Macaca mulatta: one gene and its partner. The protein of the gene in region 2 purifies or fractionates together with the protein of the main gene of each other region. This does not show direct contact. Links are inferred from orthologs where the notes say so. Each region holds a gene or a part of one and is shown on either strand. Other genes may lie near its edges.

Region 1 (4,468 bases), on a different chromosome or scaffold from region 2:
CTAGAAATTTACTGGGGCTAACAGACAATATAAAATCTGACCTGTTTTTATTAACCCAAGTTGTCAAACAGGCTTCAGTCTTGGGCTTAGAACAGCTCAGGAAAATATGACTCTTACTTAACCAAAGAACCTGCAGGGCAGACTCAAGTTTTAGTCCTTTCTTCATGAGGCTGAAGTTTAACAAGAATAACTAAAATACTAAGAAGTCTGTGTTTCTCTCTTATAAATCCTTTGAGTTTATGTAGAACTACAGCAACCAAAAGCAAACTAACTAAACTGGGAATTCGAATTTTCATCACCAAAATGGAACCTAGTATTTAAGAGAAAGACTGTGTGTGAATGTATCTGTGTATATATATCCTCATTGAGCTCTATAGAAAGCAAATTGAAGAGCCGGGTGTCAAGAAGAATTCAATATTAGCTCTAACAGTGTATCAAGGTCATCTACTCTCCCCTCACAAAAAAGATGGAGAGAACTGTATGGGGGAAAGTGAAGAAAGCTAGGGCAGTGGTTCTTAAACTAACTTGGCTAATATACTGCAGCCACCAGGCAAGTTAATTCCTCTTGCATGTTCCTTTCACATGTGTCTTCATGTAAAACTGACAGGGGGACAATTGACGTGGAGACAAATGAGAAGATCCTGAGGTCCTGGCCCTTCTTTCTTTCAGGCTCTAGACCCAGCCTATATAGTTTTTTTCCTCCCCATCACTGGTCTCCAGGTACTCACACTTATAAACTTTCTGAAAATGTCTTGAAATGTGAAAACAGGTTCATACCTATTTTCATGTTAGATAATGAGATGTAGTCAACACATGTGGGCACTCTAACTGGTGTAGCAGTCAAGAAAGTAGGAAGTGGATGGTCTACACACCCTTAAGTATTTCACACTCTCCTTTGGGACTAACAGCTGCCCCAGGACAAGAAAAAAGACTTGTGAGAAAGTCACAATATAGGCTCATAAATCAAATGGAAGATTTATTCAAAATCTATAATACAAGATAAATGTTTGGGCCGGGCGCGGTGGCTCAAGCCTGTAATCCCAGCACTTTGGGAGGCCGAGACGGGTGGATCACGAGGTCAGGAGATCGAGACCATCCTGGCTAACACGGTGAAACCCCGTCTCTACTAAAAAATACAAAAAACTAGCCGGGCGATGTGGCGGACGCCTGTAGTCCCAGCTACTCGGGAGGCTGAGGCAGGAGAATGGCGTGAACCCGGGGAGGCGGAGCTTGCAGTGAGCTGAGATCCAGCCACTGCACTCCAGCCTGGGCGACAAGCGAGACTCCGTCTCAAAAAAAAAAAAAAAAAAAAAAGATAAATGTTTGAATCCTGGGGTAGACAAGAATTGTGTGTCTCATCTATAAAAAAATTCAATAAATATTTCTTCAATTATATATTTAAATAGCAGGCCTCACTGGGTTCCTTTTATGTCCACTCTCACAACAGACCTTCCCCCAGAAGAGCACGCACTTCTGAAAGAAAGCATGGGAAGGAAAAAGTAAGCCCAGCAAATGAACAAACCCTTCTCATACTGTATGAGGGATAGCATGAACTAGAGCGAGGCAATTCATTCAAAGCCAGGGTGTAGAGATGGGTCACAAAACAATATCTGGCGATTTTGACATGGCATACAGTTAACCTCCTACAAAAAGGACTTGACCTTGCTATAGGGCAAGGCAAACATTAAGGCTCCCTCTTCACACAGGGCACATCACAGAAGCAACGCAAGGCTTTGCAAACGATCCTCTCACTGAAGTTTACCCTTTTAATATTATTTAGGGCAATACCAAATATTTTGCAAAACTTGTGACAACAGTATCACAACACCTGTCTGCACAGGAGAAGTAAATAACGTTTAAAATGTTATTTCTTAGTCTAGTCCAGTAGTCATTTGCTAAATTACCAAAAAGAATATGGAATATAATTCAACTCAAATGCTAAGTGCGGAAGACATTAAAAGCTTTCCTTAGATTACATCTTCACAGTAGAAACTGCAAATACTGACAAAAAGGAAATCATTTCAGAGAAATTCTTTTGTGTAGCAAATGTTTCTTTGAAAAGTTACATAATTTCAGGGATACCGCAAGAAAAAATTAATGGATGTAAAACCCTGCAACAAGATTTTTCAAAAAGTAGGATGTGAATTCTAACTGGCAGCATCCGACCAATTCCTGACCCCCAGCAATCTGCGTGCAGCACGCATTTGTCAACCGCGCGCTTGATCACAGATTCCAGTTTAATCGCCTCCCAGCCAAGCCCCGCACGCCCTCCCCCCTGCGCTGGGGCGCGCACAGGGCTGGAGAGCAAGCCCCGGGAACTCTCACAGGCCGGCCTGTGTGAGCAAAGGGAAGGAAATGACACAGGCAGGAAAAAAAAGCAAATCAAGGAAAAGACACAACAGCAGCTGGGCCTGCGGCAGCCTCCAGCCCGGGCCCCACACTGCGCTCTCGCTCCCCCGCCCTCGGGCTCGCGGTCCGGCTCATTCGAGCCAGGCTGCCCCGCGGAGCACGGGCCCTCGGTCCCACTGCCGCTTCCCCGGGATGCGCCCGTCGCGCCGCCCGGAAGGAGGGCTGCCGAGAGGGCTCTGCCGGCCGAACCGCCCCGCGGACCCAGAACCCCCGCCCGGGCCGCGGCGTGCGAGCCCGGCGGGCGGGCAGGCGGGCTGCCGGCGGTCCGCAGCCCCGGGCCAGGCAGGCTGTCCATGCCTGTCAGGCGGCGGCCCAGGGTCCTCCTCCCTCAGCCCGGGGCGGGGCGTCGCGAAGCAGCGCGGGCACAGGCCGGGGCGGTGGCGACACTTACCCATGGTGGCGATGGCGGCGGCGGCGGCTTGCGTCCGTGAGTGTCACCTCCGCAGCCGGGGCTGCATGCCGGGGGCCCGGGCGGCGGGGACGGCAGCGGGCCTGGCTCCGCGCGGGGGGCGCGGGCTGCGCTCTGGGCCCCCGCCGCCTCCCCAGGCTCCGGCTCCGGCTCCGCCCGCGGCCGGGCGCTGTGGCATCGGCAGGGTGGCCCGCTACATCCCGGGCGCTTCTGGGCTCGGCCCAGCCCGGCCTCGGCGGCGCCGCTCGGCCCGCCCGCCCGCCAGTCCCTCAGACCCGCAGTCGCTCCGTCCGGCCACCGTTCTCCACCTCAGGAACGCTCCGAAAAACAAACCGCTGGTCGCGCAGCTCGCCCCACTGTCTGTCACTCACGCCGGCGCCCACCAATCCCAGGCAGCCGCTGGGCCGTCGCACCACCCCTACCCACCTCATCAGCCAATAACAAGAAGGAAGTCGGCTGCCCCCGCCTTCCCCCCCAACTCTCTCCCAACACCCTAACTCTCAGCGGCCAGCTAATCATCAGCACCACACGATGAACCAATCCCGCCTACTCTCACAGGATGCCAATGGGCGAAGCCAAGGCGGTCTCCGGGGGCTGTCCAGCGCCTGCCAATCATCGGGACAGCGCCCGGCTCCTTGCGCTGCTAGCCAATCACGTAGAGGTCTCTAAGCCCCCGCCTCTGCGCATCCCTCTCTGGCGCTGTCTCCCCTTCTTGGGAGAGACTGGGAGGTCTTGGTTGCTCCAATCACAGCTCAGGCGCGAGGCTCCGCCCATATTCCCACCTCCCGTCAGTCAGCGAACGCTCGGCGGGCGCGCGGGCTGGCGCAGTTCGCCGCCGGCTATTTTGGGGCTGGGGTGAGGAGTAGGCGGCTGGAGGGGGCCCTCAGGCCTTCGCCCTCCGGGTACTTGGAGGCCCCAGCGATCTGGGTGGTTCCAGAGGCTGGTGTCCTGCTCCTCCCCGTGCCCAGCACGGGGCGCGTAGCGAGTGGGGAGGGTCTGGCCTGAGCATTTCCCGGCGCGCGGCCACCTCTGCGGCCCCATCCCCCGGCTGGTCCTCCGGTCCCGACGCTGCTCTTGCCCCGGGCAGGGGCGGCCGCGCCCAACCCCGCTTTCCCTGAGTCTCACACCTCCAGGGCCACACCCTCCAGTCTAGGTTCCTCAGACACCCAAGGCTGGGGTAGTGCTGGCATGTGGGTCCCTGGAAATCTGAGTTCCGCCAGAGGTTCTTTCAGAAAATAACTTTTTTCTTATAAAAGCAATACAAGCTTTTTGTAGGAAAATTGAAAAATGCAGAAAAGTATGAAAAAGAAAAGCTCCCACCCCAGAGATAATCTATTTCCCACCCAGATAGGCGTTTGACAAAAATGCCTTTGTATTGTTTTGTAGTATGCTTACATTTTATTCTGTTTTCCCGTGCCACCAAATATCGTTCCAAAACAATTGTACTGATTGCATGATGTTTCAAAATTAAAGGGACCATAGTTAATTTCCCCAACCTTTTCATTGTTCAACATTTTAATACACCCAGATCTTCAGATTCCAAGTCCACCACAATTAATGTGGGCTCCTTTCTCTGGCCTCTGTTCCAGTGTAGTATGTCAGGCTCCAAAATAACCTTCCTCAGATGTCATTGTCCACTGTCCACTACTT
Region 2 (3,799 bases):
CTGGGTAACACAGTGAAACCCCATCTCTACTAAAAATACAAAAACTTAGCCGGGTGAGGTGGCGGCGCCTGTAGTCCCAGCTACTCGGGAGGCTGAGGCAGGAGAATGGCGGGAACCCGGGAGGCAGAGCTTGTAGTGAGCTGAGATCCGGCCACTGCACTGCAGCCTGGGTGACAGAGCGAGACTCCGTCTCAAAAAAAAAAAAAAAAAAAAAAAAAGAACCATCCAAGAAAAAAAAAAAAAGAGGGCCCCTGGAAAGCCCCTGAGGGAGTCACCGGCAGCAAAGAGGTGCTACTGTGAACAGGTCCTTGGCGGCCCTGTGACCCCATGGCCAGGTTTATCAGAGCAATTAAAAAAACTAATTAGCAGCTGGTGTGCTTCTACAAAGGGCAGAGTGCCAGAAAGGACAGAGAACAAAGTCTCCCCAGAGCCCCCGCCCCGAACGAGGGTCCCTGGCCCTGCACCTCGGGAAGAAGGTGCTGCCACTTCCTCACCGTCTCCCTGAGCACGGTGCTTGCGTTCAACCTGCAGCACTCTGGTTCTTAGGGTTTAGGGCTGAGAAGCAGCAAGGAAGTTTCAGGTTTCCGTCGTGTACCCCGCCCAGTGGTCATGTGCAGGTGAAGATTTATTGGGTTTGGCATGGTGGCTCATGCGTGTAATTCCAGCACTTTGGGAGGCCGAGGCAGGAGGATCACTTGAGCCCAGGAATTTGAGACCATCCTGGGCAACATGGTGCCACCTCATCTCTACCAAACATAAAAAAAAAATTAGCCAGGTGTGGTGGTGCCTGTGGTCCCAACTTCCTGGGAGGCTGAGGTAGGAGGACTTATCCCAGGAGGTGCAGGTTGCAGTGAGCCGAGATCACGCCACTGTACTCCAACCTGGGTGACAGAGTGACACTCATCTCAAAAAAACAAACCAGACTTATGGACCTCTTCCACTCTCTCTCTCTTTTCCTATTAATATTTTACAACCGCAGCACTGGTACTGAAGCCCTAGGCCCAAACTCCAGAGAGGACTTCCGGGCACACAGGACCTTTCAGAGACTGGCCAGAAGCCTGAGACTGGGGACAAGCTAGGGGTCACTGTGACAAGGGACAGGGCTGTGTGGTGGGGCTGGAGATGTCAGGGCAGCCTCCCCAGAGGGGGTGAAGAGGGTAGGGAGAGAGGGCACAGCACAGTCACCAAGGCGCAAGGAGCAGGACACCCGACTCCTGTCCAGCAGGGAGGCCCAAGGCTGAGAGGCTGTGAGGACAGAGGCTGGGATGTGAGGCTGCCCACACCCAGCACTGGCACGCAACACCGGCTCACCAGGAAGTGCCCTTCAGTCCTAAGGAGGGTGGGTGTGGGGGTGCCCCAGTTATTCCCAGCCTGGGCTGGCCTCGGCTTAAGGGCTCACCTTTTGTGATGGTGGTGACGGCCGAAAAGGCGGGTCCGAAGGTCGTTTCCATTCTGGTCTAGAGGGAGGATGGAGGAGACCTGGCCTCATTCCCGGACACAAGGAGGACATGCACATGTAGAGCCCACTCACACGCCTAACACGCGACCGGGCCAGGCCACGCAGCACTCACACGCCTAACACGCGACCGGGCCAGGCCACGCAGCACTCACACGCCTAACACGCGACCGGGCCAGGCCACGCAGCACTCACACGCCTAACACGCGAGCGGGCCAGGCCACGCAGCACTCACACGCCTAACACGCGAGCGGGCCAGGCCACGCAGCACTCACACGCCTAACACGCGACCGGGCCAGGCCACGCAGCACTCACACGCCTAACACGCGACCGGGCCAGGCCACGCAGCACTCACACGCCTAACACACACACACGAGCTCCCCCGAGACCCAAGCTTGGGAGGGGACTGCGCTGGGAGCTCTGCAGGAAGCACCAGGTCCCTGGGGCATGCTGGGGGGTTCTGGGGATGTTGGGCATGCAGAGGGGCAGACCCTTACCCTTGGGGCACGCCCTTACCCCGGTGGTGACGTCTGGGGTGGGAAGGTTGCTGGGCCCTCCAGAGAAGCGGTTGTAGCGGGCACTCTTGCCCGAGCTCATGCTCTAGAGAGGCATCTAGGGTCCTTGGGCAGCATCTCCTGTGGGTGGAGCACAAATGAGGGGCTTGAGAGATGGAGCCCAGGCCCCTTTGAGCCAGCCGGGCCGCTGCAAGTATGCAGACCTGCTCTGGACCACCATGGGGCCGCCGCAGCCGCCTTCCACCAGCAGCACCGGCTCAGGCAGGCCTCTAGGAGGCAAAGGCCCTTCACACGGATCCCAGGCATGCAGAGGCCGGGCGGGCAGGCAGCTCTGCATCCCCGTCCCTCAAGACTTAGCCCTTCTGAGCTCCTGAAGAGCCCACCCAGCTCTTCCCCAAGGTGGAGGGACCCCTGCCCGGCTCTCTCTACTCCTCTGGGTCCTGAGTCACAGCCAGTCACCTCCAGGCTGAATGTCCCTGGGGCCAAGGCTGGGCCTTGGTGGGTAGGCCCAGGGTGTGGCCCATGTGGCGGGATCCAGTCACATAGGGACCAGTCAAGGCACGACGAATGTGTTTCCTGCCGTGGCAGGTACGGTCAGGACCCAGTCAGCAGCAGGCTGCAGAGGGGGAGACAGCAGCGACACCCCAGAGAAAGAACCTGCAGGGGAAGTCACTGGAACCCAACTCTGCACAAACCGCGCTGCACGGAAAAAACTGCAGGAGAGAGACGAGTCCGCCCCTGGAAGCTGCGCAGGTCACACACACTCCCACCCGTGCCACAGGGACTCAGGGGCTGGTGGGGAAGGGGGGCAGGGAGAAGGCACACAGGAATCACCCTCCCAGAAGACAGGGGCCGATGGGCCTGGGGGAGACGTGGCTGCTCCGTGGGTGCTGGGAGTGCTGGTCAGACCCAGGGACAGCTGCAGGGGAAGGTAGACATTAGAGGGAAAAGGAGACCCAGCCAACAGGTAACACCCAGGACAGAGCCCGGGGAAGGGGCTGTCCGTACCGGATGATGCCCACCCTCCCCCTGTGGGGCACCAGGCTCTGTCAGCAGGCACCCGTCCTCCCGAGCAGGCCCCACTTTCAGGACCCCGGCAGCCTGGAAGCCAGGAGCCCGGCAGAGCGCGGCTGAGACAGCCCTGTCTCCTGCTGCCTGTGGATAGAGCCGCCGCCGATCCCGGCTTGAAGCTGAGGTCCCTGTGAGGAGGGAAGTCACACCCCCAGGACTCCCGTCCTGGGCCCACCCACACTGTCTACCTCGAGGCCCATGCACGGCACCCTGTGAGGACACACCACGGCTCGGCTCCCAAGGCAGGAGCCTTCAGAACAAGCTTGCTCTGGAGGCGGCGCAGCAGCAGGGAGCCCACCCCTGCGGCCCTGCTCTCACCCTGGGGAAGCCAGGCTGCAGACCAAGGCCCCAGGGACCTGAAAGGAGCAGGAGAGCCCTAGCCCCAGGCCAAGAAAGTGGCAGAGCTGGTCTCTGCCCCCACCCAGTGGGAGCACGGCTCAGGGGGCATCACTGAGTCCAGCTGGCTCCAGCACCTCCTCCATCAGTCCCTCCTGACTGGGCCCCTCTGGTGATACCCGCCCTGCATGCGCCTTCAAGTTGCCACTCATCTCACCCACCACCGTGGCTGCAGTCTGGCCTGGGGTCCCCCAGCCCGGCCTACAGGTCTGCAGGGAGGGGCTGGCTCTCAAGCCCTTGGTTCCCTGCACTTGGGCTCCCAGACTGTCTACCACCCCTGCTGTCTCCTCTCCCCTTCTCTAGGCTGCCCAGGCGCACCTGTCCCTTCCAATGCCACCTGTAAGGCCACCCACCCTGGAGC

The links.
Region 1: the proteins of TRAF7 (region 2) and MAP3K3 purify together in Homo sapiens (affinity purification with mass spectrometry; 5 studies listed by BioGRID and IntAct, with this or other methods). This does not show direct contact. The link is inferred for Macaca mulatta from reciprocal best matches to the Homo sapiens genes TRAF7 and MAP3K3.

The regions. Positions count from the first base shown.
Region 1 is NC_133421.1:73,415,269-73,419,736, reverse strand, and holds the start of MAP3K3 (mitogen-activated protein kinase kinase kinase 3), read right to left. Parts: upstream 2,848-4,468; 5' UTR 2,805-2,847; coding exon 2,801-2,804; intron 1-2,800. UniProt on the Homo sapiens protein: Component of a protein kinase signal transduction cascade. Mediates activation of the NF-kappa-B, AP1 and DDIT3 transcriptional regulators.
Region 2 is NC_133425.1:3,393,654-3,397,452, reverse strand, and holds part of TRAF7 (E3 ubiquitin-protein ligase TRAF7), read right to left. Parts: intron 2,092-3,799; 5' UTR 2,054-2,091; coding exon 1,973-2,053; intron 1,458-1,972; coding exon 1,400-1,457; intron 1-1,399. UniProt on the Homo sapiens protein: E3 ubiquitin and SUMO-protein ligase that plays a role in different biological processes such as innate immunity, inflammation or apoptosis. Potentiates MAP3K3-mediated activation of JUN/AP1 and DDIT3 transcriptional regulators.